Saccharomyces cerevisiae S288C: one gene and its partners. The gene in region 1 interacts genetically with each later gene. Each region holds a gene or a part of one and is shown in the gene's direction. Other genes may lie near its edges.

Region 1 (7,449 bases):
TGACATGATTAAAATACATTTCAGAACTTTACGGATTAAAAACTTTAAAGAACCTTTCAATCCATGTTGCTGGAGGGCCATGAATCCACGAATTACAGCAAAAGAAGACAGTAACTACTTAGGGTTCAATAATTACTTGCATAAACACACACTAACAACCAAATCGTACTAAAATTTGCAATTAACAAAACTCCATCATATCACGCTGAATTATGTAGGGCTTCTTAATGCAATAGGTTGCCTGAATTTTGCTTACTCGTGCTGCCGGGAACACTTAGCAGTTGGGAGGCCGTTTCTCCCATATATTTCATAATTTTCTGTCCTTCTTAGAGTAGGATGCTGAAAATCAAAAGAAGACCGTCAATAGGACCAGATTTTGTGGGTCAATTTTGGGCCAGACACATGATACCCTAGGAAGTTTAACGGTATACAACTCAAGGACGAGGAGTATTCGGAAACTACCGGTTTTTAACAAGCTGCAAATTTCCAGTAGCTGTTTTGGTTGCGACTACGGATAAAAATTCATACTTTAGGAAGTGAAGCAAGATAAAAAATCATGCTGCATCCTAATTCGTGAAGTTTGTTAGGAATATTATTGTAAACAAGGAACCGTTTCAGTAAACTTGCTCTCTACTCTTCTAAGCTGTAATTTAAAAAAAGCGATAAAACAATGATTTTGATTATCTGCAACTTCTGGAAACTCGAGATACTACGCTAGACGAGATACCTATTAATTGTTTTCCTAAAAAATCAGGAACAGTTCCTGGCAGCTTTCGGCTCCTTCTTGTTCTGGAAAGGATCTTCAAATCCGCTTCCACGTAGCAGTCCTCGCTACGACTTCTTCTGAAGTATTTTGATTTTTGGCTGCATTTACCTTTTATTGCCGAAAATCTTATTTTCCAAGAAAAAAGCTTATTTTGCATTAAGTTTAAAAAATTTCTTCTTTCCCGTAGATTGACTTGCAGCGTCAAAATTCCGGAGGCCTCACGAGATTTTTTGACATCGGTTTTTGACATCTCTTTTTCCTTCCTTTTTCTTTCTTTTCCTGCGCACGCCGATAAAGAAGTAGTACAACAGACAACGTCAAAATGATCCTCTTGTGATGAAGCAAAAGAGGAAGAGTATACTCCTTTTCCGCTTGTACAAATATTTTTTTTGATAATAAAATTTGGCACTTCAGAGCTTATCGTATCTTCTCCCGGAGTTCCTCAAGACTTATACTTCAGCCCGTTTAGGAATGCATAAAAGCAAATAGGATTCGTTACAACTGCTGCAGGACTCTTTAGGACTGCATCAAGGTAAGCCTCGCTGCACCTAAACGCAAAATGTGGTTGTAACCTTTTTAATTTTTTTCTTGAACTTGTTGAGTCGTAATAAATCGTTTCTGGGAAGTGGAAGGTAATAATGTAATGGAATCGGCGTTACTCGCATGTGCAGATATCAGCGACAAAAAGTGTTGTAGGGACGTTTCGATACCAAAATTTCCTAAATACAGCGCAGGAACATCACTACGCTAAACAAATCGTAGCGCATACATCTGATCGAAAAAAGACAGTTCCCAAAACAATGACATATGAAGAGACCAGCATCAAAATTTTCATCATTAACAGCATGGCTAAAAGTTATTGTTTAATATACCCATACCTGATTGACGAACCAAGAAATGCCTTATCACTATTTATTTTTGGCACTCTTCACCTACCTGGCCACGTCCAATGTTGTTTCAGGAAGTACACAAGCATGCCTGCCAGTGGGCCCGAGGAAAAATGGGATGAATGTCAACTTTTATAAATACTCATTACTGGATTCAACAACGTATTCCTACCCGCAATATATGACTTCTGGATATGCCTCGAATTGGAATTAGGTTCCGTTGGCGGACAGACGGATTTCTCAATTGACTACGATCTTTCTTGTGTTATCTCTTCAGGAACTTTTAAATGTGCTCAATCAGATGCTTATGGAAACTGGGGATGCAGAGGTCATAGTGAATGTTCAAAATAGCCAAGAAAGACCTATTGGAGTACTGATTTACTTGGTTTCTTACTATCCCAAAAAACGCTACTCTAGAAATGACAGGTTACTTTTTACCACCACAAACAAGTTCTTACACGTTCAGGTTTGCTAAGGTCGATGACTCTGCAATTCTATCAGTCGGTGGTAACGTTGCGTTCGAATGTTGTGCACAAGAACAACCTCCAATTACATCGACGGATTTTACAATCAATGGTATTAAGCCATGGCAAGGAAGTTTGCCTGATAACATCGGAGGGACTGTCTACATGTATGCAGGCTACTATTATCCGCTGAAGGTTGTTTACTCCAATGCCGTTTCCTGGGGCACGCTTCCAATTAGCGTGGAATTGCCTGATGGTACTACTGTTAGTGATGACTTTGAAGGGTACGTTTACTCTTTTGACGATGATTTAAGTCAGTCAAATTGTACTATCCCTGATCCTTCAAAACATACTACTAGCATCGTCACAACTACTACCGAACTGTGGACTGGTACTTTTACTTCTACATCTACTGAAATGACCACCGTCACCGGTACTAATGGTCAACCAACTGACGAAACCGTTATTGTTGCCAAAGCTCCAACCACTGCCACCTCATCCAGTTTGTCATCATCTTCTTCAGAACAAATCACCAGCTCTATCACGTCTTAGCATCCAATTATTACTCCATTCTATCGCAGCAATGGAACTTCTGTAGTTTCTTCCTCAGTCATGTCTTCCTCGGTCATTTCTTCTTCTGCAACGACCTCCACTTCTATATTCTCTGAATCATCTAAATCATCCGTCATTCAAACCAGTAGTTCCACCTCTGGTTCTTCTGAGAGCGAAACAATCTTAGTGATTGCTGGCATGTCATTAGCGACAAGACGCTTATTACCGTAGTAGCCCCCCAAGGCAAACATCTCTTTATCAGTAATATCCAAAGCTGTTCAACTTCTCGAATTGGCCCAGGAAAAGAGCATTGGGGCGGCAACTAACTCTGGCATACTTACAGTTTCTGCTCTTGACAGCGCTAAAAAAGGGCTTGTTTTGTAATGCCCGGTTCGCAATTCTACAAGTACCACGCACTAGCTGCTAAAAGTGTCTAACCTTGCGAACAAATCTGGACTTTCTTATGAGAATCCCATCGTCAAGAAACAAAATTATACAGACAGGCGTAAATGTAGCTCGTAAGCGCCTGATCAAGTAAGCCAAATGCGCTAACTTGAGGAAATATAGCCATCTAAATCTCTGCAACATGCCAATTCGCACGTGACTTGAAACTATGGAAAGTGTCTAGAAGATTACCAAGAACCACGTTATTTGAGAGAGGATGGCAAGGTGACGACAATCACACCAAGACCACATTTTGGGTGCGCCTGGAAGCAAGACCTGAGAAACTGGGCCAAAATATTCAAACCAAGCATAAGATAGTTGGAGGTAGGAATACACTATCTAATCTGTGCTGATGAAATGCTGGCGAAAACGGGCGATGTAGTGGTACAGAAGGTGCCGGTTATCCGTTTGTCCGTTTTTCTTCATTTTTTTTTTGTTTTTCCCTTTTGTCTTTTGCACCGCTTATATATGGGTATGAAACAAGTTCAAGAATTTATAATGGAACCCAAAGGTTCAGTCTTTGTAGTTCGAGCGACATTGCGCGTTTCCTTAGAAAACGCTGGAAAGATATTCTTTAACGAGACGGAGTAATTCTCGTCAGGAATAGGATGTTGATTGATTTTTGCTGTAGTTATATAGCAGGGACCCACGGAAGAGAGCGAGCGCCTTCTTTCACAGGGACTTTTGTCAGCCACGTCTCCGGGGAAAACAATTGCCGTCCGCGTCGCAGTGAGATTACGCAGCCGTGCGCTTCAGGGACAGAAAAGAAGCATTTCGCGGCTACGGAGAAACCGTGCACTAACTCTCTCGAGGGTAGCCGCAAAGATTTCTTGTCTCTTCCATTAGGACATAGCTATCTTTTTCTTTTCTGTTTTTGGCGTATGATCTGTTCTGAGCCAAAGTTATAGATCATTGCTTGAATAAGCACCTCACAGAGTAGGGATTGTATAGAAAGTAGCTGAGCGTCTGCCCACGTAACAAACAATCTTGCCCCTTCCCCGCTCTTGTTTTCGCGTGCCTCTTCTACAATAATCTGGCCAGGCTGAATCGCGTTCTGCTGCTGCTGCTGCTATTGTTATTGTTGTTGTTGTTGTTTTGGCCAATTGCTTATGTGTTGGTCTGCAAATTAGCACCTCGTTCCCTGTTGGCAAACGCGCGCGTACAAGCCTTACAGGGCTTGAGAATGTTCTTCGTAGAAATGCATGCACAAAAATTCTGATCTAGCACACCATCGGTCTCTGTAGCTTCGGGCTCTATAGCTATGGGTTAGGAGTCCGTGAGTAGTAACAAGAAGAAGTATATAAAAAGCAGGTAAATCGTACTTCAATATGCTTCATTGTCACTGGATCGTCATATTCACTCTTGTTCTCATAATAGCAGTCCAAGTTTTCATCTTTGCAAGCTTTACTATTTCTTTCTTTTTATTGGTAAACTCTCGCCCATTACAAAAAAAAAAGAGATGTTCAATCGTTTTAACAAATTCCAAGCTGCTGTCGCTTTGGCCCTACTCTCTCGCGGCGCTCTCGGTGACTCTTACACCAATAGCACCTCCTCCGCAGACTTGAGTTCTATCACTTCCGTCTCGTCAGCTAGTGCAAGTGCCACCGCTTCCGACTCACTTTCTTCCAGTGACGGTACCGTTTATTTGCCATCCACAACAATTAGCGGTGATCTCACAGTTACTGGTAAAGTAATTGCAACCGAGGCCGTGGAAGTCGCTGCCGGTGGTAAGTTGACTTTACTTGACGGTGAAAAATACGTCTTCTCATCTGATCTAAAAGTTCACGGTGATTTGGTTGTCGAAAAGTCTGAAGCAAGCTACGAAGGTACCGCGTTCGACGTTTCTGGTGAGACTTTTGAAGTTTCCGGTAACTTCAGTGCTGAAGAAACTGGCGCTGTCTCCGCATCTATCTATTCATTCACACCTAGCTCGTTCAAGAGCAGCGGTGACATTTCTTTGAGTTTGTCAAAGGCCAAGAAGGGTGAAGTCACCTTTTCTCCATACTCTAACGCTGGTACCTTTTCTTTGTCAAATGCTATTCTCAACGGTGGTTCTGTTTCCGGTTTGTAACGTAGAGACGACGATGAAGGCTCTGTAAATAACGGTGAAATCAACCTAGACAATGGAAGTACCTATGTTATCGTTGAACCAGTTTCTGGAAACGGTACAATCAACATCGTCTCTGGTAACCTATACTTGCACTACCCTGACACCTTTACTGGCCAAACTGTTGTATTCAAGGGTGAAGGTGTTCTTGCCGTTGACCCAACCGAAACCAACGCCACTCCTATTCCTGTTGTTGGCTACACCGGTAAGAACCAAATTGCCATTACCGCCGACATCACTGCTCTTTCTTACGACGGTACTACTGGTGTCTTAACTGCAACCCAAGGTAACAGACAATTCTCTTTTGAAATTGGTACTGGATTCTCTAGTTCTGGCTTCAGTGTCTCCGAAGGAATCTTCGCAGGCGCCTACTCATATTACCTAAACTATGACGGTGTCATCGCTACAAGCGCCGCATCCACATCCGCATCCACTACCTCTGGTGTTGTCTCTACTGCCACTGGTTCAGTCACTTTATCCTCTAACGCTTCTACCACCGTCTCTTCTACGATCTCTTCTAGCGCCCCAGACTCAATAATTCCTTCATCTAGCGCCTCTATCTCTGGTGTCTCAAACTCCACTACAGCATCTGGTTCAATCGCTTCTACTGCTTCCACCGCTTCCACTACTTCTACTGCATCCGCTGCATCCGCCACCAGCTTCACCTCAGGTTCCGCTTCTGTCTACACTACTACATTAACTTACTTGAATGCCACAAGTACAGTCGTGGTTTCCTGTTCAGAAACAACCGACGCTAGCGGTAACATTTACACCATTACCACAACTGTCCCATGCTCATCTACCACTGCCACCATCACATCTTGTGACGAAAACGGATGCCATGTTCCAGCACCAACTGCTACCGACGCAACTGCAACCGTTTCCTCCAAGTCATACACCACTGTTACTGTTACTCACTGTGACAACAATGGCTGTAACACCAAGACTGTCACTTCTGAATGTTCTAAAGAAACTGCAGCAACCACCATTTCTCCAAAATCATACACTACTGTTACCGTTACTCACTGTGACGACAACGGCTGTAACACCAAGACTGTCACTTCCGAGGCTTCCAAACAAACATCATTGGCCACTAGCACAGTCACCAAGTCTGCTGCTCCAACTTCTCATACTGCTGCTTCCAGCACCTTCACTGGTATTGTCGTTCAATCCGAAGGTATGGCTGCTGGTTTGAGAACCAATGCTTTAAGTACTTTGGCAGGTATTTTCATCCTTGCTTTTTTTTAAAATGAGTGCGTAACCGTACTTTCCTAAAAATAACTAAGTAGAAAGTATTTTAATATATAAACGTCAGTGTAAACATTCAAGTGATTTTAACTTTACGCGGTTGAAGAATGCTGTGTTCGAACTATAAAGCGTCAGAAAAGATGGTTTAGCGAAGGCACCATTATGAAGATAGACACATTCTTCTTTTTTTTTTTTTTTTTTTTTTTTTTTTTTTTTTTTCATTTACTTTTATTTCGCGCGGTCGGTAAATTTTTCGTGGGTTTCTTTGAATCTATTAGCCGACATAAGAATAATGCATAAATAATATTTTTAATGTCTTCCTATGCCCAAAAGAAGAAGTCTTGAAGTTGCCGCACATGGAAATCACATGACCATGGCTTGGCCCTTCGTTTTAAATGCAACATGCAATATGGAATGTGTCATGAATACTATCAGCAGGAACAGAAAGCGTCGTTTTGTTTCTGCAAATGCTGTAGTTTTGGGCCGAAAATAGATGTAGTAGAATATATAGTGAAACGTGATGTACAAAAGAAAAAGGTAGTTTAAAAAAAATTAGATAACTTGGATTTTTACCCTGAATATTGCATGTGATTCGTAAAGAACTGAGTTACCTCAAACGGACCTCCCTTTTCATTTCGTATTCCGCGAATCATGAAGTCATGCAATTACCTCTGAAGAGCTGACTGTCCCAAAAGAAGCTATCGAATCTGTCCTTGATTTATTTAAGCCTTGCGTTTCGAGAAAGTGAAAACCAATTGAATACAAAATAAAAAAAAAGAAGAAAGAAATAGCAGGTCTAAGATATATAAGAAAGTTAATATCATTTTTGAACATTTTATTTTAGACGCCTTCAGCCGCGCGACGCCCGGAGTAATCATATGCCCATGACTTTACCAAAAGGCAACAGGGAGGAACATGCATTAATGTGAAGCATCACTGCTGCAATTCTCGGTGTTGCTAATAATTCATGGATCGAGAAAG
Region 2 (11,330 bases), on another chromosome or scaffold:
CCGCCGTATCATAATAACACAACAAATGCTTATGGGAACAGCCGGGCAGGCAATGCTCATATGTTAGATGGAAAGTGGAGCAATAATCCGCCGCAAATGGTACCAAAGGGAGTTCGCCCCAATCAATATCCACAGCAGCACGTTAATAGGTATTCACCGCAAGCTCAACCTGTCGTACCTGCGGAATACTACAATGGACCTCCACCTATGCGAGCACCTCCAATGATGTCCCATATGGTACCAGCTCAGGAGCCGATACGTTACACAGCTGGTGCTAACAGGCGTAGTTTTCCCCAAGGCATGCAGCAGAATGCCTATTCCGTACCCGCTCAGCCTATGGGGGCTGTAAATAGTGAATTTTACCTACCAGAAGCTCCTCAGGGAAACAAACTGCATGGAAATATTAACAAAAGACAGGAGAGAAAGAAGCTATATGATAACATTAGAAGCGGAAATTTCGGCATATAGAAACACTTTGTATCTGAAATTATCATCTTTATGAAATCTCAACAGTTGTAAAATTTCCCGAATATTTATACATATATATGTGTATGTAATTACAAGTATTTAGGACAATAAGGAGAGATTTAAGTCTACTACATAATTTTTAACTCCTACAAATGGCAGGTTACGTTGAGTAAGAATATAACATTTTATTTTCCATATTCAACATCATATGCATTTTATCATCTCATCCTCTTAGTCACTAATTTTTCTAACGCTCATAACAAAAGGTGCGTTACGCCGTCTAGAGCTTTTCTTGAACGTTAAAACTTTACCAAGCAGTTGACGGGTAATCATTCTCATAATCCAAGTAATTTTAAAGATATCAACAAAATGTACTATAATGCCAACACATTCTTTACTTATATTGGCCGGAAGATAAATCCAATTTCTCGAGTAATTGTGGTATGTCCCAAGAAAGTAGTGTTTTATCAGAATCGCAAGAACAACTAGCCAATAACCCTAAAATAGAGGATACAAGCCCTCCCTCTGCCAATTCGAGAGATAATAGCAAACCTGTACTTCCGTGGGATTACAAGAATAAAGCCATAGAGATCAAGAGCTTCAGTGGTTATAAGGTAAATTTCACCGGCTGGATAAGAAGAGACGTAAGAGAAGAACGTCAAAGGGGAAGCGAGTTTACTGCATCTGACGTTAAAGGATCAGATGACAAAGCTACAAGGAAAAAAGAACCAGCAGATGAGGATCCTGAAGTAAAACAACTTGAAAAAGAAGGAGAGGATGGACTGGACTCATAAGGTAATGTCAACAGCTTAAAGTTGTTCTCAGGGCCCCACACTTTCTAGTTTGGCACGTCATTTATGAAATTCACAAATTGGTTACATTAAGTACTAAATCTGGTAGCCGACCAAAAAAGAACAACAAATATACAATTGTATGAGTAAATATGCAATATAAATCAAATGTATTTAGTTAAAGGGCCAGAAGTAAGGCTACAGACTGTAAAAGAAAATTAGATGGAAACCCTCTTCAGGAAAAAAGGACATTATAAAAGATACAGCCAAGAAGTGGGCGTTTATAAAACAATTATATAACATGACCGTCGATTATATTCTGACAGGAATGGCGACGATTGCATCGTTATATTTCATTTCATTCCCAACTCAACGATACTGGTATCAAAAAGCCTCTCTGTTCATTATTTGTCCCACTACAAGCGACTCTCTTATTTTTGGCGGTCTCTGCCAGCTTAAGAAAAAGCGGTTACCAAACGACACTAAAAGAAGCGGCGCGTCTGGTTCATTAGAAATTTGTCAGTAATGCTGTCAATCTTTGTGTAAAAAGTCTTTCCATCAGTTGCCACCCCTTTTGTAGCAACTTCCATGCGTAGAACAACCTCACATTCATTATTTTTTTTACCCTTCTCTTTTAATTGTTCAATTGCGAACAGACCATCCAAAGATTCGAAAGAAAGACTGAGGTGCTCCGCATAAAATCTTTATAAACTTTAGAAGTAAATGGTTTCGTTCAGAGGGCTGACTACACTAACACTACTTTTTACCAAATTAGTAAACTGTAATCCTGTTTCCACAAAAAATAGGGACTCTATACAGTTTATTTATAAAGAAAAGGATAGTATATACTCTGCCATCAACAATCAAGCCATCAATGAAAAAATTCATGGAGTCAATTTGGGTGGGTGGCTAGTATTGGAGCCGTATATTACACCTTCTTTATTCGAGACTTTCCGTACTAATCCGTACAACGATGACGGTATTCCTGTTGATGAATACCATTTTTGTGAAAAATTAGGCTATGAAAAGGCAAAGGAACGCCTTTATAGTCATTGGTCGACGTTCTATAAAGAGGAAGACTTCGCGAAAATTGCTTCTCAAGGCTTCAATTTGGTTAGAATTCCTATTGGGTATTGGGCCTTTACAACGTTGAGTCATGATCCCTATGTTACCGCCGAGCAGGAATATTTTCTAGACCGGGCTATCGATTGGGCTAGGAAATATGGTTTGAAAGTATGGATTGATCTTCATGGAGCCGCTGGTTCACAAAACGGATTTGATAACTCAGGGTTGAGGGATTCATATAAGTTTCTGGAAGATGAAAATTTAAGCGCCACCATGAAAGCTTTAACGTATATTTTAAGCAAATACTCAACAGACGTATACCTGGACACCGTTATTGGAATCGAATTGCTCAATGAACCGTTAGGTCCAGTTATTGACATGGAAAGATTGAAAAATTTGCTTTTGAAGCCGGCTTATGACTATTTGAGAAATAAAATTAATAGCAACCAGATCATTGTAATACATGATGCTTTTCAACCTTACCATTATTGGGATGGGTTTTTGAATGATGAAAAGAACGAATATGGCGTCATAATTGACCATCATCATTATCAGGTGTTCTCGCAGGTGGAATTAACAAGAAAAATGAATGAACGTATCAAAATCGCCTGCCAATGGGGGAAAGATGCCGTAAGCGAGAAGCATTGGTCCGTAGCAGGCGAATTTTCAGCGGCCTTAACAGATTGTACAAAGTGGTTAAATGGGGTTGGTCTAGGTGCCAGATATGATGGAAGTTGGACCAAAGACAATGAAAAATCTCATTACATAAATACGTGTGCAAACAACGAGAATATTGCCTTGTGGCCCGAAGAGAGAAAACAGAACACTAGAAAGTTTATCGAGGCTCAATTAGATGCTTTTGAAATGACTGGTGGATGGATAATGTGGTGTTACAAGACAGAGAATAGTATCGAATGGGATGTTGAAAAATTGATTCAACTCAACATTTTTCCGCAACCTATCAACGATAGGAAATATCCTAACCAATGTCATTGAAATTTTGTGGCATATATTTAAGGTCTTGGGAATGTGATGATTATTATTGGAGAAAAAATTGCCATCTAAAACTCTTTATATAACATGATGAGGTATACAAATAAAAAATACTTTATATCTTATAATTATGCAAATAAAAGTGCTTCCATCAACCGCTACTTCACTTTTTATCTGAACTATGAATGGGGAGCTCATGATGATTACCTGTTGATATTACGTGAGGCGGAAGAGAAGCACGAGACACGGGTCACTCTCGATATTACCGGACAGTTTACTTAGACTATGTAACGAATATGAGAGGAAGAAAAACAATAAATAAATACAAACCTCTCCGCAGTTTTATGAAAGAACAGGACAGGGCGTCTATACCGATTTTTACATCTATCTTTTGAGTGCTTGAAAGGAGACGCTGGACTATATCTTTAGGTTAAACATCTGTCAAATGGCAGCAGTACCCACCATCGACCTTACACTAGCCGATTCAGATAATGAAGACATATTCCATTCTTTTTCGTCTTCAACAAGTGTGGATAAGATAGACATTAGGAAAGAAAATGGGAAATTAAGAATGGCAGGCTTGGAAGTCGCCCAATCTAATGACGATGCAGCACGTCAAGCATTCCATGTTTTCAAGACGAACATATCAAATAATGAAACCTTCGATACTATTCTTTCAAAGAGCAAGACAATCACAGACAGTACCTTCAACAATGAAAAATCTTCCAACGAAGTAAAACAGCAGCAAGTCTTGAAGGAAGAAACGATGGGATCTTCCAACGATGAGAAGAAAACACAAGAGAGCAGCCCAAGCGCAGAGATGATAAAACTTTTTTATGAAAACGATGATGTGCCGTTATCCGATAGTTTTAAACAAAAAGAGGAAGGTAAAAGAATAAATCAGGATGAGCAAGTGAAGGAAAATATCTGTGGCATTTCTTCCTCATACGTCTCCAAAGACTACGATGGCGTTGAAGATGATTTCGAGCCTAATACTTGCCAGGACAGCAATTTGGATTTTCAAGAGGAGAAGTTAAACTTGAATAACAAACCGTCACAGCAACAGTTCAGCGACCCAGAAACAAAAGATAACAGTTTGAAGAGCGAAAACAAAGACCAAATAAAAGGAGTCACAACAACAAGTTATCGTGATTTACCTATTGAATCTAGTGCTTTCCAGGATTCTGAAACTCAAAATAACTCCAAAAACACTATACCTAACATCGTAAATGAAAAGCGAACGCCAGCATTACCGTCCAATCTAAGCTCTGTTGAGAGTTCCCTTAAAAACGAGACGGCCAAAGTAGAGGGGAAGACGACCGTTCGTCTTCCAGGACTTCAAAATAATGTTGCCTTACTTGAGCAAGAACAAAGTGAACTATTCAAGCACTTTAGTGAACAACCTGTCGATATTAGCGATTTTGGTCGTAAGATTAAAAGGAAGCATAGCGGAGATTTTGCAGATAACAAGATACTTAAAAGACCGATATTGCCCTCAAAAAATATGGACCACACAACACATAATTCACATGATTCCGAACAGAAAAATAGCTCGATTATTATTCTTTCAGATGAGGACGAATCTGGTGCCGGTATCAATGATATAGAAAGTCCTTTGAAAGTTTCTGAACCAAATACAGCTGATGCGCTTAGGAGCAGTGTACCAGAAGTCATATCTTTACTTGACCTACCCAATATTGACTTGAATAACTCAGTAATAAAAGAAGCAAGTGGCAGCAATTCAATTCCTACATCAGAAACAGACGCACAATCCTCGAGTTCGTCAGTTCTTCAAGGAACTATCATGACAGAACAAGCTACTCAATCCTCTCAACACGAATGTAACAGTTCACTTGATACTCTAAAAAAAAATCATCAAAAATTATTGAAGGATTTGAATTCTAGAGAGTCTGAACTACGTAATGCTCTCAGTTGCTGCAAGACAAACTCTGAAATTTTAAGAAGGAAACTAAGTAGAAGAGAAAAGGAGGTCTCTGATGCTGAAAAACATTGGCAGTTATTGTTGACATCGATGGCTAGAGGGGGAAGAACTATCAGCTCAACTCAGCAGATATTAGTTGATGAAGCTGAGAACCAATTAAACAAACTGAAGGAAAAAAGACAGTTGACAAAATCGAAGCTAGATTCAATCAATTTGAAAATGTATAATTATAACGAACAATGGAAGTCCTTTGTGCATTCGAAAAATATAAACCTGCAGAAATCTTTGGCTGCCCTTGAGCGGTCAGCCAGGGATAGTAAAGCTTCTGCGACCGTAAATAAAAGAAACGAATGCCTGGCTGAGAAAGAAAAGCTAGACCAAATGTTAAAAGAAGGAACCCTAAGCTTCAGTACCTACAAGCAGTTAACAGGGGAGATCCAGCAGAAACTGAATGACTTGAAACTGGGGGACCAACGCACAACTGATATCAATAGTGTATTGCCAATAGTACGGCAACCTCTCGCCAAAAGAGATTTATTTATTAAGTCCATTGATACTGCAAAAGATTTATTAGCCAAGAACACATCCAGGACAGAAATGACGAAGAGAATTCTTTATAGACATTTGGACAACTTGGTCTCTTATAAAAACTTTTTTGAAGACGGAAGATCCTTAATAGATATAAACAGAAGACACGTTGCACATGAATCGGCCCAAATATTGTTCACCAACGGTGTAAAGATGCCCATTGTTTTTGAAACATTACAAGATTACGGCATCAAGTTTTCTAATCCAGCCATTGTCAATCCTGACAGAAGAGCCCAATATTTTAAAAGCATCGAAGTTGCACGCGATCTCATATCAAAGTCTACTAGATCAGAGGATGCTAAACGAAAGATTACTCGATTTTTGAATATAATTGAAGAATTTCGTAAAGATATTGACACCGGATTTCCACCTACTCCTTTAAAAAGGGAAGGCGTCGGAAAAGCTGTTGTTGGGCTAAGACAACAAGGACTTAAGATGGACAGACTATATGAAAATTTGAGAAGATATAAGATTCCAATAACAAGTGAAGAATTACTGCAGCAAAGCTATTTATTTCCGGTAAACGCAGATCAACGACCTCCTTCAAACTGGAACATCGTGGAAAATACCGAAGATACTAGTTCTACAGCCAATGATCTATCGATGCAAGATGAATTTCACATCTCTAATATGCATGCAGCAGAAGATCAAGAACAGATTAGGGCTCTTTTAGAGAATGTCAAACAATCTGAATCCATTATAGACGGCGAAGCACTTACTCCCGAGGATATGACCGTAAACTTATTAAAACACCAGAGGCTGGGTCTGCATTGGTTGTTACAAGTTGAAAACTCCGCAAAAAAAGGGGGTCTGCTTGCTGACGATATGGGCCTGGGTAAAACGATTCAAGCTATTGCATTGATGTTAGCAAATCGCTCAGAGGAATCCAAATGTAAAACCAATTTGATCGTCGCACCAGTCTCAGTCTTGAGAGTTTGGAAAGGTGAATTAGAAACGAAAGTAAAAAAACGCGCAAAATTTACTACATTTATTTTTGGAGGATCAGGTAACGGAAAAGTTAAGCACTGGAGGGATTTGGCAAGATATGATGCTGTTTTGGTATCTTATCAAACTCTAGCAAACGAATTTAAGAAACATTGGCCGAAAAAACTGGATGGTGAACAAAATCAGCTACCAGCTGTGCCTCATATACAAGCTCTTAATAGGTTGAAAACCTCAAATGAATACTACTCTCCATTTTTCTGCAATGATTCAACGTTTTACAGAATTTTACTGGACGAAGGCCAAAACATCAAGAACAAAAATACAAGGGCTTCTAAAGCGTGCTGTACTATAAATGGAATGTATAGGTGGGTCTTGTCTGGTACGCCGATTCAAAATAGTATGGATGAGCTTTATTCCTTGATAAGATTTCTAAGAATTCCACCCTACCACAAGGAGCAACGGTTTAAATTAGACATTGGAAGGTTTTTTCAGAGAAATAAGCAATATCAATATGATAACGAGGATAGAAAAAACGCATTAAGAAAGGTTAGAGTCCTTCTAAATGCCATTATGCTTCGTCGGTCTAAGGCTGATAAGATCGACGGCAAACCTTTACTGGAGCTCCCTCCTAAAATTGTGGAAGTAGATGAATCACGCCTGAAGGGAGAGGAATTAAAATTTTACACAGCTTTGGAATCAAAAAATCAAGCACTCGCTAAGAAATTGTTGAACAATTCTACGAGGGGGAGCTACTCTAGCGTTCTCACATTACTACTTCGCTTAAGGCAGGCTTGTTGTCATTCAGAATTAGTTGTGATGGGAGAAAAAAAAGCGGAAGGTACAAAGGTAGCTAACGGCAAAAGCTTTGAAGATGACTGGCTCAGGCTCTACTATAAAATCACTCACATGAGCGGAGAAGCGCAGGCTCAGGTTATTACTTCAATGAATTCTATGACATGTTTCTGGTGCATGGAACAATTAGAACCAGAAGCGATGTCCGTTCTGACAGGTTGTGGTCATTTGATTTGCGACACTTGTATCGAGCCCTTCATCGAAGAGTCATCCATGCTACCTCAGGCCAAGAAAACCAAAGGTGGGGCATTTGCTATCCCATGCAAAGATTGTCAACGTTTGACAAACGAGAAAGATATTGTTTCGCACAAGTTATACGACCAGGTAATAAACCAGGGATTTACTGAGGAAGATTTGCATGCAGAGTATTTAAGTGAAATGGAGAAACAAAAAATACAGCAAAAAAATGTATATGTGCCAAATTTTGAGAGTTTAGAACCATCTACGAAGATAGAGCAATGTATACAGGTTATTCAAAGAGTTTTTGATGAATCAGCAACCGAAAAAATTATTATTTTTTCCCAGTTTACAACATTTTTTGAGATTCTCGAACATTTTCTCAAAAATAAACTGAATTTTCCCTACTTGAAATATATTGGATCAATGAACGCTCAGAGAAGATCAGATGTTATCAACGAATTTTATCGTGACCCTGAGAAAAGGATACTTCTGATTTCCATGAAAGCCGGTAACTCAGGACTAACATTGACATGTGCGAACCATGTAGTTATAGTTGATCCATTTTGGAATCCTTACGTCGAAGAACAAGCTCAAGACCGTTGCTATAGAATTAGTCAAACAAAAAAAGTCCAGGTGCATAAATTGTTTATAAAGGACTCTGTTGAGGATCGTATTTCTGAATTACAGAAGAGAAAGAAGGAAATGGTCGATTCTGCCATGGACCCAGGCAAGATAAAGGAAGTGAATAGTTTAGGGCGTCGGGAGTTAGGATTTTTATTTGGTTTAAACGCTCTTTGAAGAACTTGGTGAATTTTGAAGCATTATTGCGATACACATATGTATATGTTGATAATTGGTGGCTAAGCTTCTAGTTTGTAGGCTTAAGTAACTTCACTCGTTGGCACTTACGAGCTTGGCATTTAATGGAACAGAAAATAAGCCGTAAATCGGCCCTACTTTAAGTATAAGAAATATGCGAAATTTGATATGATCGTTTGAATTACTTTTTGAAAAAGAAAATACCATTAGTAACATACAATATAAGAAGCTCGTCTCCTGGATTTGGAAATCCACAAAAGATTATCAACAATGCCACGAATAACATAATTGCTTCCCCCTCCTGTTAATTGCTTTAACTCATTATTGCATCGTTAACAGTTGTTACTAAATTTGATTTTTGTTTCTCATCATATATGTAATCTTCAAACGCCAGTATAATTATACGCTCGCAACAGCTACCATACATTAATGAACCGATGAAAATATCCCGTTTGATGATAACTGGCAATTAAATGACAGTATTAATTAATAATCAAAGCTGATCTTATATTCCTATAAAAGAGAAGCGTATAAAACACACGTGGATTGGGGGTGCTTTATACGTAAACTGTGATTTCAGTAATTTTCGCTGTAAGATCAAAGTAAAGACACATTCCCTTATATGTAAAGTTCAAATTCATTGTTCCACTAATAGACCGTCAACTTTTCTTTTGGATTTTCAGCCCGAACAGGTTGCTTATTATTAACTTCCTTACAACAAGGTACAGTCAGTGCATTATATAGATCTATACAACCATGTGCCTTTGTGTTTTCTAAGGCTATACTGAAAATAAATTGGTAATTTATAATTTCTATCTTCACGCGCTTTCTCACTAACAAGACTTGACCTCTCAAATAAGTGGCGCAGATGCTCTAGAAAAGGTTTCTTATCAAATAAGTTTTGCTCTTTAATCGCACAATGCAATGCAAGTTATTTTTTTTTTTTTGATTTAATGACTTTCGATTTCCTCTCATAGGCAACCGGTACTTATCATAAGTACGTAATAAGAAAAGTATGTCGCAGGACGTCATAAGCTCAGACTTGAACAAAAGAGTAACAAAATCGCCTCCACCTAATTTTCAGCCCTACTAGAGCCTGATAGGATATCGGCACTGAAGCTGATAAGAGAATCAATGAAAATATCATCCTCAACAGAAATACTGAAAAGAAGCGGTAGTTTTTTTTTCTTGTTACAATTATCAGCCAAACAAAAACAGTGATCTGAATCGTCAATCAAACATTAGTGGAAGAATGAAATAATCGAAATGACCTCTATATCCTGTACGACCAACAAGCTTAATAGTAGTGTTTCCTGGGACTAAAGAGTGTGTTTAATTATCTCGAATTTTAATACTAGCGAAAGATCTTGAATGAACACTAAGTATGATCATTTTATTAGGTTTTTTGCTCATTAGGCAATTTGTTTTTCACTGGAAGTAGAGGATTCCTTTTCATTATCTTTCTGATGAACAATTTCAAACACTTTTGTGTTTTCTGAACTAGTTTTTGTCAACTCAGGTAGTTCATCATCGGAGCTCTCAGGTTTGTATTCGTGTCCACTTGTGAAGCATTCGCCTAATGTGTAAGCACGGATTTCTTCTTCAGAAATTTCACTGTATGGAACCATGCCCTTCTTCCTTGCTTCTTCGTCGGTAAACGCACCGTAGTAATCTTTGTCATCATGTTTGACAGTAATTTTGAATGGGAAGAGGAGGCATAGTCCCCAATAGACGAAAAAGGAAATCAAAAAGGAGAAGAAAGAATCACCATAGAAAAAATTTATAATACCAGTGTTGTGGAAATAGTCATTATTGACTTCCCAAGCGATACCAGGTAGACCGGGAGCCATACCACACACCCAGGCAACGATAGCTCTCCAGTTGACACCCTTGGTAAAATAGTATTCACCCTTTAGAACAAAGGCATTGGTAACGGAGTATTGTCTCTTCCTGATGAGGAAATTATCACAGATCATGACAGTGATAATAGGTGTCATTACGACACCGAAAGAGCTCATAACAGTCAAGAAAGTAGAAGAAGAGTTGTAAAAGTTCCATGGCAAACAGGCCCAGGAGACGCATGCGGCAAAAATAGCACCTCTCTTAATATCAACATATTTCGGTAATAAACCAGCCAAATCCATACCACTGGCAAACCCACAGTTGGAGATGGTATATGAAATTTGAGACATTACAAAACAAAAACCACAGAAGAATGTAGCTGCACGCGCGCCTGCAGAATAGTTAGTTGTCAACCAGTTGTCAAAGATGTCCATAGGCATCCAAAATGTTTGACCGTATAATTTTTCACAAGCAGAAGCACCAATGATACCGAATACTGGGATCAAGGTTGCTGGTATTAGTAAAGCAACTATAGTACCAGTCCAGATAGCGCAATTAGAGGAACCAAATCTGGAGAAGTCACTTTGATTGGTACAGCCTGGAGAAACAGAACCGTACCAGTACGAGATCGTATAAACCCAAGCCCAAGCCTTTTTAGAGCCAGTAACTGTGGAATGAGTAGAAGTGAACAAGTCACCAACACCATGTGCGCTCTTAGTTAAGTAAATTACCATACCCAACATGGCGAAGAAAGTACCAACACACGACCAAATTAAAATATAGTTCATATGGTATGGCTTCATAAAGTAACAGAACGCGGTAAGGATATGGAAGATAATGAAGCC
Region 3 (7,193 bases), on another chromosome or scaffold:
GAATTTAGTGGAACTTATGGAGAAAGAACAATTAAAGAACATGAATAATACTGAGGTTTCGAATCTTGTCGTCAACGGTAAACTGCCATTATATTCCTTAGAGAAAAAATTAGAGGACACAACTCGTGCGGTTTTAGTTAGGAGAAAGGCACTTTCAACTTTGGCTGAATCGCCAATTTTAGTTTCCGAAAAATTGCCCTTCAGAAATTATGATTATGATCGCGTTTTTGGAGCTTGCTGTGAAAATGTCATCGGCTATATGCCAATACCAGTTGGTGTAATTGGTCCATTAATTATTGATGGAACATCTTATCACATACCAATGGCAACCACGGAAGGTTGTTTAGTGGCTTCAGCTATGCGTGGTTGCAAAGCCATCAATGCTGGTGGTGGTGCAACAACTGTTTTAACCAAAGATGGTATGACTAGAGGCCCAGTCGTTCGTTTCCCTACTTTAATAAGATCTGGTGCCTGCAAGATATGGTTAGACTCGGAAGAGGGACAAAATTCAATTAAAAAAGCTTTTAATTCTACATCAAGGTTTGCACGTTTGCAACATATTCAAACCTGTCTAGCAGGCGATTTGCTTTTTATGAGATTTCGGACAACTACCGGTGACGCAATGGGTATGAACATGATATCGAAAGGTGTCGAATACTCTTTGAAACAAATGGTAGAAGAATATGGTTGGGAAGATATGGAAGTTGTCTCCGTATCTGGTAACTATTGTACTGATAAGAAACCTGCCGCAATCAATTGGATTGAAGGTCGTGGTAAAAGTGTCGTAGCTGAAGCTACTATTCCTGGTGATGTCGTAAAAAGTGTTTTAAAGAGCGATGTTTCCGCTTTAGTTGAATTAAATATATCCAAGAACTTGGTTGGATCCGCAATGGCTGGATCTGTTGGTGGTTTCAACGCGCACGCAGCTAATTTGGTCACTGCACTTTTCTTGGCATTAGGCCAAGATCCTGCGCAGAACGTCGAAAGTTCCAACTGTATAACTTTGATGAAGGAAGTTGATGGTGATTTAAGGATCTCTGTTTCCATGCCATCTATTGAAGTTGGTACGATTGGCGGGGGTACTGTTCTGGAGCCTCAGGGCGCCATGCTTGATCTTCTCGGCGTTCGTGGTCCTCACCCCACTGAACCTGGAGCAAATGCTAGGCAATTAGCTAGAATAATCGCGTGTGCTGTCTTGGCTGGTGAACTGTCTCTGTGCTCCGCACTTGCTGCCGGTCACCTGGTACAAAGCCATATGACTCACAACCGTAAAACAAACAAAGCCAATGAACTGCCACAACCAAGTAACAAAGGGCCCCCCTGTAAAACCTCAGCATTATTATAACTCTTGTAGTTTACATGGTGATACTTTATATCTTTGTATTGTCTAGCTATTCTAAATCATCTGCATGTAATAAGAAGTTGATCAAAATGACTCGCTGCGTAAAACCTCTCTTCGATCGGAGGTGCCGCCTAATTTATCGCCTAGCACTGCGCTTTTTCAAAGTTTTTCAGAGCAAAAAATGAAAAGTAATGAGCACAACAATAGAAGAGTATCATGATATATAAGGTCATAAAACTAGGTTTCAGGGGCTATCGGCAATTTGAGGAACCTTCAACCTGCCTCAAGTAAAAATCGCTTCGTAACATTAATACAAATTCTTTTTGCAATTATGGAAGGAAGATCAGATTTTGTGGCGACTTCACAGTCCGGAAGTGAAATGAGCCATAGTGAAACTAGGAATAGAACTGGGATGAATGCTAGGAAAAGGAAATTCGCCTGTGTGGAATGTCGTCAGCAGAAGTCGAAATGTGATGCTCACGAAAGAGCACCGGAGCCATGCACTAAGTGTGCTAAAAAGAATGTCCCATGCATTTTAAAACGAGATTTCAGAAGAACTTATAAAAGAGCAAGGAACGAAGCCATTGAAAAAAGATTCAAGGAACTCACCAGAACTTTGACAAATTTAACTTCGGATGAAATTTTGAAGAAAATTGAAGAGGAACAGGAAATTGTTTTGGATAACAGTAATTTCACAAAAGAAAAAGTAAAACAACTCAGGAAGAGTGCTTTTGAGACGACAGAAATAGAACCGAGATCATACAAAACACTTCGAGGAGAACCTATTTCTTACAGTACCAACAGAAGACATACGGATTCTTCTCCTTTAACGCTCTTAAGCTCGTCGACAAACTTCGACCCTGTTCACTCAACAAACGTTATGACAGATGATCAACTTAAGTGCTTGCCAAAAAGCCTGGGCGACGTATATTTGTCAAGCAGCGATATTGCTGAGCTGTTTCAAGAATTTGCGACAAAATATCATCAATTTTTACCCGTCGTTGACCTTTCGAAAGGAGCAGAGCGAATTTATCACTTATCTCCTTGCTTATTCTGGGTCATCCTGCTCATTGGTTTAAGGCGGAAATTTGGGGCTACAGACTTAATGACTCGATTATCAGTGCTAGTAAAGTCAGTTTTATCAGAAATCACAATATCTCCAATAATTCGATATACTCCATCAGATAAGGACGAACCCGTTCTAAATGTAGCATCTGTATATTCCGTGCAAGCATTTCTTTTATACACGTTCTGGCCTCCCTTAACCTCTTCATTAAGCGCCGACACTTCGTGGAATACCATAGGAACAGCGATGTTCCAAGCGCTTCGGGTAGGACTAAATTGTGCAGGTTTTTCAAAAGAGTATGCTTCGGCAAATTCAGAATTAGTTAACGAGCAAATACGAACTTGGATTTGCTGCAATGTTGTATCTCAAACAGTTGCATCATCATTTGGTTTCCCAGCTTATGTTTCATTTGATTATTTAGTAATCAGCTCTATTAGAGTACCAAATTCAAAAAGCCAAGTAGATATACCCAATGAACTAAGACAAATGGCTCAAATTGCTAGATTTGAGAACCAAATCGTAAACACAATGAACTCCACCCCGGCGAGTGTTACTGGGATGGTAAGTCAGGAAGAGAAGCAGCCCTTGTTACACGTTCTTAATCAACAACTAAGTCAATTGGAGATTAGTCTTGAAGAAAATAACCTAGATGATATCCGAAAATTTTTATTACTAGTGGCCAAGGTTCACTTATTAACCTATTACTTCACTGATGTTACCTCCCAAAGTGCTGGAAAATCAAATGGTAATATTTATGAGGGATCATATTCCATTATGGAACTCGATACAAGTTTTGAAACGAAACGTGGATTGGTGAAAGTTTATAATGCCGCCGTAAACTTTCTTATACATGCCAATAGTATGTGGGAACATGATCCTACCATTATTAAGTACTTTCCTGGTTTGTTTGTCTTGAATATATGGCAATCTGCCTGTATTATTAGTAAACTCATACATTCATCACTTCATTCAATGCTAGATGTTAACTCAGGCAAAAAAGCTTATAACAACGCAATTTCATTGACGTTTAATGCCTCAGTTTTAAAATATGATATGGCGTACAGATCATCCGGAATAATGCGAAGCATATGGAGTTTATTTGCTAATATGTATGATGCCTGGAAAAACGACCAAAAGGAAGGTGGAGGTAGACTAAATAATGATTTCAATTTAGGCATCACCATAAAATCTAGGATGTCAGTAAACGTTTTTTTTGACTGCTTATATATTCTAAAAGAGAAATGTGGTATGGCCAAATTGGAGAGAGAGACCAAGGTTTCTACAGCTTACAATGTTGATGAAGAGGAAGAGGAAGATGAAGATGAGGAGGGAGAAGAAGAAGAAGAAGAAGAAGAACTAAGTAGTAAAGTTCCAGAAAATATGGATAGCCAGCAACTAAGGACAAGGAAATTCACCAATGTAAGGCATCCAGAAAAGAAAGCAAGAAAAATAATTGAAACAATTCCGCTAGACCCAAATCCAATAAATGCAGGCTCTACCAGCAGTGGAAGCTCATTAACGACCCCAAATAGTCAAGTAGCGAACACTATATCATATAGAGGAATCCTCAATAAAATGTCACCTAGGGAACAACTGAATCATGCAAATTTAGATTCCAGTGTTTCTACAGACATCAAGGACACTGAAGCTGTCAATGAACCTCTGCCAATAGGGAGGAATGCTGAACATCCGGCAAATCAACCGCCTCTTTCAATAACACAAATGCAAGAAAACACACTACCTGCGACACAAGCCAACTCTTCTCTATTAGAAACGTATCCCATTGTTCAATCAAACCCCGTTACAACTACAATCAAAGAATCACCCAATTCCATCATGGCAGGTTGGGATAACTGGGAATCTGATATGGTTTGGAGGGATGTTGATATTTTAATGAATGAATTTGCGTTCAATCCCAAGGTTTAAAGTCCTTTTCTTTTTTTGCGTAATGTTTACTTACCCTCGAAAAAATGTTATGTAATGACTGCGGTGCTACAGGAGAGGTAAATGATTTTCTATATACGTTTATATTTCTTCCATTTACGCACACTATTTTTTGTCCTTGAATAATTTAACTCAAAAAAAGTGTAAAAAACTGTGTCATTAGGTATATGTTCAATACTTTTGATCTTCAAATGACGTAAAAAAAAGTTTTCAGACGGACTTAAACCGCCAACCAGCCTTGGCCACAGGTGTATGATGCGAAGATTCGTAAGCGCTCACGTTAGTCACATCTCAGGATTGGAAATTATACTAGATAATAAATGGCTTTATTTAATCATATTATAGTTGATATAACAAATCACACCTCCGCTTAATTTATACGTAATAGTATTTACAGTCCTTATGGGTATCAAGACATATTAGGTTAGGAGAACTAAAGAAAAAAAAAAGGACTGTTTGTGCAATTGTACCTGAAGATGAGTAAGACTCTCAATGAAATTAGCACTTTTCTTGGATTTCTATTAAAGCGCTAGCATCTTTGTATACGTCTGACTGGGTAAATTTTTGAAAGGAATCGTTATTCATCAGTCTATACATTTCATTGCTAACGATCTCGAAGAGGGGATATAATTTCCTGAGGACCTTCAAAGTTGCTGGAAATGATTCAACCGATTTGGTATCATTTTGGGTGTTGTCCATGCCATAACGAACAATTGTATGTGAATTTTCTACTGATGCATTAGGCGAATGCGTTTCTGCCAGAGTTAACGGGGCAGGTTTATATTCCTTTAACTGATGTTTGAATCCTTGCTTCTTAAATGAACAGTTTTCATTTGAAAGATTTTTTGAAGGTTTTAGACTCACTTCAGGTGGTTCACCTAACGTGTCAGCCTCCGTTGAGCTAATTGATGAAGCTGCTGATTCCGCGGATGCAGGTGATGGATCGTATAGATTAGTAGGAAAGTGTTCCGATAATGGAGAATGAGGGTGCAACATGATGTCAGAAATATTCTGACGCAAGTTATGATGGATATTTAATTGATATGGTGATCCTATCATGATATAGGACGAATAAATGTGATATGCCATTTCAAGGCACTCATTGGCCTGTTTCATTAAAGCTGAATCAATCGTTTTTACGATATTGTTTTTTGAAGTACTGGTATTAGATTTTTTATCACAATGCTTAGAATCTATCAATTTTTTCAGAATTGTCATTTTCTTCAAAAACCTCTTAATCTCAATGAAGACATCCAAATTTTCTACACAAAGTTCCTTTTCTAAATGGCGCCTGAATAAATATCTCATACCTGGATCAGTTAGCACATAGTCCAGTTTATTTAAATTACTCGAAGAGATAAGCATGTCTTGAGAAAAACCTTCACTATCATCCAATGTCTTTTTTTCATCACGAACAGTCATATGACCCCTTAATGTGAAATCTAGGTCTATGGTGCTACCATTTGGTGCTCTAATATTATTGCTCTTACAACCTGTCCAAGAAACCAAATCCCAACCACGCTTGGACAAGGTAAAAAAAGAGGACCTGCTAATTTGAAACTTTTTCTTGTCAGTGCGTGATGGTTGTAAAAGAACTGGTACAATCAACCCCGTTTTTAAAAATAACGCTGCCAACGAGACCGCTTCTTTAACATGCATAATATCAGTACAGTCCATTATCCACTGCCATATAGCCTTTGTTGTAAAGGTGTACTTAATCACGATTTTTTTGGAAGTGCCAAACGTCTTATTTTCAAACAACCTAATACCTGCATTCGAAACGTAGTATTGCGTGTGCGACTCAGAATCTGGATTTGTAAAGAATCGATGAGCTAATGGCGATACCCTTTCTAAGTCATTTATATCGATGTTTCCAATCTGAGCTTGCCATCCTTGTTCTGGCTTAGATTTCTCAAAAGTAAATGTATCATCATTATTAGTGTATTCCAACAACGAAGATAGGCAAGGTAATGGGTCATCTGCGTTTGTTGGAGACCAAACATTTGGCTTAGCGCCCATCATTTTAATGAAAAGAATATGGATCAAATAATCACTATGGATGATTGAATCCGTGACAGAGCTTCTCTCAAAAGTGAAAAGTTTCATGGAGTTAAACGATGACAAAAGAATATCAGGCATTGTTTTCAACCCAATATCTCTAACATACTTTTGTAAAACAGCAACTCCCTTAGGTGTTGGTTGGAAAAGAACTTTCTCTTTTGGCTCGCCACGAGTTCTGTCCTGCGGTGTATGTAGTAGCTTAGAAGACATAAATAATGTAAGAAGGTGGCGCGCCAAACTAGGTTTAATATTATATGAAACGTTAATACAAGTTGTGTTCATATCCACTTTTAGTTCCAATTGTCCCATTGCTTTAATAGCTTCCTGATATGTAAAAGTGAAGTGGAAATGTTTAGTGAATGCAGTTAATAAGAAAGACTTAGTGTCACTACTATGTTTTTTCTCTTTCAAATCCAAACAAATTAGAAAAATGGAATATACTGTCTTTAAATCATTGGTAAAGATCAGTCCATTCGGCGTTCTGCTGAAATTTTTGGAAGATAATTCATGCAACGTCCTATTTTTATCCACCATCTTACAACTCTATCTTTAATTACCAAATTGAACCTATAACGCCTCAGATAGTGCGTGCAAAACCTAGAAGGAACGTACGACAGTAACACCTCCAAAGTTAAAGGACGATGAGAAGTAAAGACAGAGCTGGGATTATGATTTCATTCACCGGTATAAATATAACAGGACAGACAACAATTCTAACGCACCAGCAACCAAATCCAAGTCCTAGTCAAAAAAAAAGCAGTATTGGGATCATTGTTTCAA
Region 4 (7,392 bases), on another chromosome or scaffold:
TTTATCTAAGGGCGGAACGTACCTATGAAATGTCTCTACTACTTTTATGAAGATACTGATTTTTAGTTTGTCACAAATTTTACGATTCTGAAAACACATATACTTTCTTTTATGTTGATAGAGCAATAACACAATGGCCATTTAAAATCTAGCCAGCAAAATATATTCACCGGTTCGTACAATCTCATTTACTATTCCCTCTGAACGTCTTGACTTTGCTCCGCCAGCAAATTTTCCAATCCAACATGCAAGTCACGAAATGACGAATGAAGGCTGTATCAATCGTTCCTAACTGAGGATGGCTGAATAAAAATGAAGGGAAATTCTACGACAGTTTTAATTAGTTAATGAAGGGGTGTGAAAAAGTTAGAAAAAAAAAAAGTCAAATTCAGGAGAATAGACAAGCCTACATTTTCTGTAGTTCAAAACTTTTTATGGTTTGACTTTGTTTTTTTTTTTTTTCGTTTTTCTTTTTTAGTTGAACTAATGGGACCCTCAAACCTAAAATTTTCCGTTTTCGTTTAATCCTCGCATCATATATACCAAATAAGGACACAGGGTTTTCAGTGAGCAAATGTAAGGGTTTCTATGGATTATAAGCCCTTCGGATCAGAAACAGGGTTCCGTAGTTTGGGCAAGAATTGCCCTTAGTCCTGAGTCAACTGCAAAAATCTGTTTAAATTATTGCACCCAAATGTGATACAAATGTATACTATTATAGAGGCTGCCACGGCTTACAATTGCACCCCTCTGTGGCTTTTGAGTGGCGAAGGGTCTATGTTTGGATAATAGAGATGACTTATTTAATTGAAATGATGGTTTGGGTCCTAGCAGAACTCTAATATAGCAAAAAAGTGCTCGTGAATGTCTCTCTGAAAATGCTGGAAACTGATCACTCTAGGAATGACAATTTAGACGATAAAAGCACTGTCTGCTACAGCGAAAAGACAGATAGCAATGTTGAGAAGTCTACCACGTCTGGCTTGCGCCGTATAGACGCTGTCAACAAGGTCTTGTCTGACTACAGCTCTTTCACAGCTTTTGGAGTTACGTTTAGTTCACTCAAGACCGCCCTACTGGTGGCTCTGTTTTTGCAGGGTTACTGTACTGGACTCGGAGGGCAGATTTCGCAATCAATACAAACCTATGCCGCTAACAGTTTTGGAAAGCATTCTCAAGTAGGATCGATCAATACCGTCAAATCAATAGTAGCCTCTGTTGTCGCAGTGCCATACGCACGTATATCTGATCGGTTTGGACGTATAGAATGCTGGATTTTTGCGCTTGTGCTCTATACTATTGGAGAAATTATTTCTGCTGCTACTCCAACGTTTTCCGGACTTTTTGCAGGTATTGTTATACAACAGTTCGGTTATTCTGGATTTCGTCTTCTTGCTACAGCACTGACTGGTGATCTGTCTGGATTGAGAGATCGTACATTTGCGATGAACATATTTCTGATTCCCGTGATTATAAACACATGGGTAAGTGGAAATATTGTTAGCTCAGTTGCTGGTAATGTTGCACCATATAAATGGCGTTGGGGCTATGGAATTTTTTGCATCATTGTGCCCATCTCCACCCTAATATTGGTCCTTCCCTATGTGTATGCTCAGTACATTTCCTGGCGCAGCGGTAAGTTACCACCATTAAAATTGAAAGAAAAAGGACAGACCCTGCGTCAAACGCTCTGGAAATTTGCGGATGACATAAACTTAATTGGAGTCATTCTTTTCACTGCTTTCTTAGTTTTAGTATTATTACCTCTCACAATAGCTGGTGGAGCCACCTCCAAATGGAGAGAGGGTCACATTATTGCAATGATTGTGGTTGGTGGCTGCTTAGGTTTTATCTTTCTAATTTGGGAATTAAAATTTGCTAAGAATCCATTTATCCCACGAGTATATCTAGGTGATCCAACCATCTACGTTGCATTGCTAATGGAATTTGTATGGCGTCTAGGTTTGCAGATTGAGTTAGAGTATTTGGTCACCGTGTTAATGGTAGCATTCGGAGAATCAACATTAAGTGCGCAGCGGATAGCTCAGCTTTACAATTTTCTACAGTCATGCACTAATATTGTTGTCGGCATTATGCTGCATTTCTATCCTCATCCGAAAGTCTTTGTAGTCGCTGGGTCGCTTCTTGGTGTCATCGGAATGGGTCTTTTGTACAAATACAGGGTGGTATATGACGGGATTTCGGGTCTTATTGGCGCTGAGATTGTGGTCGGTATAGCTGGTGGTATGATACGTTTTCCTATGTGGACGCTAGTGCACGCTTCAACCACCCACAATGAGATGGCAACTGTCACTGGGTTACTAATGTCCGTTTATCAAATCGGAGACGCAGTAGGTGCTTCCATCGCTGGTGCTATATGGACTCAGCGTCTGGCAAAGGAGTTGATACAGCGACTCGGCTCTAGTTTAGGGATGGCAATCTACAAATCACCACTCAATTATCTAAAAAAATACCCTATTGGATCAGAGGTTCGTGTTCAGATGATAGAATCCTATTCGAAGATTCAACGCTTATTGATAATTGTGTCCATTTCGTTTGCGGCTTTCAATGCTGTTCTCTGTTTTTTCTTGCGTGGCTTTACTGTAAACAAGAAGCAAAGTCTTTCCGCAGAAGAACGAGAGAAAGAGAAGCTCAAAATCAAACAACAATCATGGCTCCGTCGTGTAATTGGATATTGAGCTGGAGAGTACTAGCGATACAAATATAGTGTTAAGCTCTTTCCTGAACTAGAATTCTCTTTGAAATAATCACTGTTAATGTAAGTAGTAATCAATAATGGCGTGTAACAGTATAATATTGTTGTCTGAAATAAAAAACAACAAAAAGTTCGAATTAGTTTTATTTTATTTTTCTTTTCTAACTAAGTGAATATCCATACGTTTGTTACGTTTATTTCAGCAATATTATAGTCTTAAATGGGCTTGACAATACAAAAATCAATGAGATTATTCGCACCTGTCATTTCCCGTAGTTTTTATAAAGAAATATAAAAAAAAATGTTGCGAAGAACTTTTACTAGAGCGTAAACGAATTAAAAAAAATTAGTAGTGTAAATATAATCACCACCTGCCGTAAGCCTGCTTGAGCCCTTTATTATTTAGTTTTAGCTGTTGCTAACCTGACTTTCATACTTCTTATAATTGACGTCATAAAAAATATTCAAAGTTCGAAAGAATGAAGAAAACATTGACCGACTTAAAAGAAGCAGTAACCCCACGAAATTTTAACCAGTGCTGATTGTGCGAGAAATCGACTCCAACAGTCTCAGATCAGAGAATATATGAAATATTAGTGGCCCCATACTTATAATGGTTCGCTGATTAATGTATAACAAGCGTGAAAGTATGTATAGCTGCACGGATTGTAGATAGAGCTCATTTAATATTAGGTATTTTGCCCATGTCATTTTTGTGCAAGTCATTTTCTCCTTTGGAACTAAATTTTCTTTAAAATATCTCATATACAAAAAATCCTAACTCACAAGTTAATGTTTTCCATCATAAGTAGACGTTTATTTAAAACATGTTATTATATATTGATCCACTCTTTGCAGTGTCGTTTTCCTACAAAAATTAGATACTTAATCTTGAGGAGTGTAGAAATAAGTGAAGGCGACATAAAGATAGAGAAACAGCCATGAAATTTAGTGAAAGCTGACACTCAAGAATTAGGAATGTAATAAGATAATGAATCACAACATATAAAATGGAAAGTGAAGTAATAATACTATTCTATAGAATAATCGACGATCCTTCATGAATTGCTATATATCTGAGGAGAACTTCTAGCATATCCTGCATACCTAATATTATAGCCTTCAATAATAATGAAAATCCTAACAATTATCCAATTATTCACCAAATTCTCTATTTCAACAGTAGTATTATGGCATTGATTATATTGCAAGCTATAGATTCGATTTCATGAATTCATAACACTCTAAAAGAGAACTTCTGCAATACTCTGTACAAATAACATTATTACTTTTACTAAAAATAGATTTCCGGACACTAACTTTTGAATTCTTATCAAAGCAGTCGAATGCCGCGTCCTACGGTTTATGTATATAGATTTAAAAATACACGTTAAAGACTGTTTTCTCCATAATTCTTGTTTAATATACCTATGAACATAAGCGAGTCAATCAAACTCGGGAGTAAAATGCTTTAAGGCACGCCGCTTAACCTTTTAAAATACATGTCTGAACATTATGTAACCAAACTAAAATTGCTTTTAAATGGATCCGCGCAATATCTAAAAACATTAACTATAAAGGATAAAAATTTTGGACAAAAAATAGCAGTAGCATGTTTGCTTCCTAAGCGTTTGAAGTCAAAACCATTTTTAAAAGGGTAGAGAGGCTTAGTAAAAAATGGTTCCCTTATTTGGTTTATTTTGCATTTTTTCTCAATTGTACTCATTATGCTCCGCATATGTTGATATCACCAGCGGTTACCAAGTATTTTTCAACTTGCCAACTAATATGACAAACAATCAAATATGCTGGCTATTCCAAGCATCTTACTATGATATTTATTCTGATAAAAGTGGTAGAACACTTAGAACGGGACGGTTTGAACCCGGCGATCAGCAATCTTTGATTTATAGGGATACCTTAGTTGAGTTGGAGGCTATTACAGATTCTTATGAGTACAGTAACCTAGATCTATCGACTTATAACGGACCTGAGCCATATAATTCTGAGACTGATTATTGTACAGATATAATGGATTTGGTAATGCGTGTATATGATGAAGAAGGACATTATGTTCATCCAGTTGCGAATAACTCAACAAATGCTTGCGCTCATCCAACTCCTCCTACGTTAAACAATCTATTGATAAGTAATTATTCTGACGGAAGAAATTATAAAGAGTCTTCTATATAATGGTGTAGTAAGGATACTGGAACCCTTTTATGACACATTTAGCAGTAAGATACATTTTTGGTTGATGTGATCAAGATTTTTTAGTTTGTAGATTTATTATATAGCACTGGGACATCATTAACATCGCACTTTCGAGTTAATGTATGTATACACAACATCGAGGAACAACAGCATCTAGGGTTAATGACATTGTATTGTATACTTTCGTTGTGCTAGTGGTGGCGTGATGCAAGAAGCTGATACATACCTGAAAATGAAAGAGGACGTAGCTATACGGTGTTTGTGGACGAGTTCACATACAGTACTGAAAAAGATGAGGATGGGCTGAGATAAAGTTTGAATGATAATGAATATTATTACATCTTCTTTCATTTTATATACCGTCATTCATTATCCCATGAAATTATCAAGCCTCGCGTTTCAACCTCTACTAAAATCGTTGACTGTTTCTCAATATTTATGTCTTTCTTACGTTGTATACGATAATATACACGTACTATGGATACTAGTCGATATATGATAGTTAATTCTCATTCCAATAAAAGTCGACACTACCGCTACCACCTAAAGTTATACTGTTTTTATGCGTGCGTACGCAACAGTTCATCAGAAAAATGTCTATCGTCAGAATCATCCCTCTGACATTTCAATTCCAAAAAGATTGCTCTATCTTTGGAAAGTGGCTAAACCTAGGAGTATTATAAAACTCACAAGTTCTTAGAACTTGCTTCGAGAGATCATAACAGGACAAGTATAATACGAGACGGAATAAGATTATCATACCAAAGATACAAAATAAAACAATTGGTAGTCTAAGGTGACAAAATTAACTGAAGCTGTAGCTAGCAATAAAAAAAAGATTCAAGATGTTCAGGGAGTGACGTATATTCCAATGCTTCCAATACAGCAGGCTTCAAGATTGTTGCTTCACTTTCAGGGCGGTGATTTGAAAGCAAACTCCCAAATTTACACTTAATTCTTCTCCTGAGCTGTTCAATGCAAAATGCACAAATTGTTATTTCCCATATAATAATTCCAGTTGACAGCACTATATCTAAAGGTTTCCGTATAATGATGATTTACCGCGTAGTATCATATAAGGGAGTAACAACAGCATTAATTATCGTGCCATTACTAAAAATAACTTAAGCATCAAGCGTAAATTATTGAACTCCAAACTCTATCAAACACTTAAAATAAACCAATATTGAAGAAAATTCGCAATATGTTGTAAAGATTCTGCTGACTAGAAATGGCAGGTAGGATTTTTTTTTTCTATCTAAAATGGTAAGATGAGCATTTTTTACTTGGAACGAGTGTAAAAACAGCAAGGTTACAGCCACATAATTCTCTAATAATACTGATGGAAAGCCGTCTTATTCGGAAGCTGTGAGTATTTTTTTCGTTGATTTGTTGCCAAAAAAATCCATGCAGAAGTGTACTCACTGGTTTTCATTTACCTTTTCAGCAGCACACCTGCCTGCCCCTTATTTTTAACGATTTCTTTCCATTTAGCGTAACTGCTGCCTCGGATTATTATGGTGTTTTTCCACCAGCTCTGCTTAAAGCGTAGAGTTCGCTTGTCTTCTCCCTCCCATCAACAGGAATTTTATTGATCGCGTAATTTCCTACCGACAGTTTGCAGAATGCCAGGTCAGACAGATTAAATATTAAATGAATAGCCCCATAGAATAAGTACTATATATACGCTGCTAGTTTCTTTGTTTTGTCGAGTTTGGGACCAAACCAATACCATTTGTGGAATCACTGCACATATGCAATACTGTGAACTCGATTTATCAGGGCAGTGGCTGGATACAGTATATTGTGAAGAGAATTTCTCCGACTTTGTCTTTATAAAGTTTCTAAATCCTTCACAGTTTGAAGAGAAGATATATTGTTATACTTTACATATCACCAAAAGGACACTAGAAAATAAGAGATTACTTTTGTATTATGAAGATGAATTCAAAAAACATGGTCACGATATTAATGAGCTTGTTGGCGACGGTATAATCTTGCGTTCATGCTGGAACCCTCGACAGTAATCAGACCGAGATTCATGCGTATGCTAGCTCTGTTGTCGACTCAGTAAACTTACAGCAAACCAATGGTACTATCAATCTAATCATAACTGAATTCAATGGTACTACCATTGGCTTTGATACAAACGTTACCAAAATTAATATTCTTGACGCCGACTTTTCTTTTCTTCGCCAACAAGTCAACCAAGAAATGCTAAAAAGAGGAAAAGGGTGTCTTAACGCAAGGTATCGTATCTCGACTGGAGGTTGTACTGATTGCGGTAAATCGCTCGGCTATTCATCTGCACACAATTGCGGTGGAAAGGGCTATTCATGCATTAAAACGTGCACAGAGAAGAATGGTCATGTTTGCTGTGAAGAGTGGTGTGGATCCAAACGCGCTGTCCAAAAAGAGGGATTTGAGAGTGGATGCTGCTTTAATAATCAATGTTACGGTGG

What was found.
Region 2: mutations in YAR066W (region 1) and ULS1 together harm fitness more than expected from each alone (negative genetic interaction), as found in Saccharomyces cerevisiae (one large-scale study listed by BioGRID).
Region 3: mutations in YAR066W (region 1) and LEU3 together harm fitness more than expected from each alone (negative genetic interaction), as found in Saccharomyces cerevisiae (one large-scale study listed by BioGRID).
Region 4: mutations in YAR066W (region 1) and CSS3 together harm fitness more than expected from each alone (negative genetic interaction), as found in Saccharomyces cerevisiae (one large-scale study listed by BioGRID).

What each region holds. Positions count from the first base shown.
Region 1 is NC_001133.9:216,477-223,925, forward strand, and holds YAR066W (uncharacterized protein), read left to right. Parts: upstream 1-4,572; coding exon 4,573-5,184; downstream 5,185-7,449. Other genes in the region: YAR064W (uncharacterized protein), read left to right, coding at 3,722-4,021; YAR068W (uncharacterized protein), read left to right, coding at 5,930-6,415.
Region 2 is NC_001147.6:688,713-700,042, forward strand, and holds ULS1 (translocase ULS1), read left to right. Parts: upstream 1-3,762; coding exon 3,763-8,622; downstream 8,623-11,330. Other genes in the region: MSB1 (Msb1p), read left to right, coding at 1-468; IES4 (Ies4p), read left to right, coding at 912-1,262; SPR1 (glucan 1,3-beta-glucosidase), read left to right, coding at 1,983-3,320; THI72 (thiamine transporter), read right to left, coding at 10,056-11,330. UniProt on the Saccharomyces cerevisiae protein: ATP-dependent helicase involved mating type switching and in silencing interference through its interaction with the silencing regulator SIR4. Cooperates with UBC4 and UBC5 to mediate ubiquitination of SUMO conjugates.
Region 3 is NC_001144.5:1,034,420-1,041,612, forward strand, and holds LEU3 (leucine-responsive transcriptional regulator LEU3), read left to right. Parts: upstream 1-1,673; coding exon 1,674-4,334; downstream 4,335-7,193. Other genes in the region: hydroxymethylglutaryl-CoA reductase (NADPH) HMG2, read left to right, coding at 1-1,345; GTPase-activating protein SST2, read right to left, coding at 4,851-6,947. UniProt on the Saccharomyces cerevisiae protein: Factor for control of RNA levels of a group of leucine-specific genes.
Region 4 is NC_001147.6:14,798-22,189, reverse strand, and holds CSS3 (Css3p), read left to right. Parts: upstream 1-4,393; coding exon 4,394-4,909; downstream 4,910-7,392. Other genes in the region: ENB1 (Enb1p), read left to right, coding at 879-2,699; YOL159C-A (uncharacterized protein), read left to right, coding at 6,685-6,957.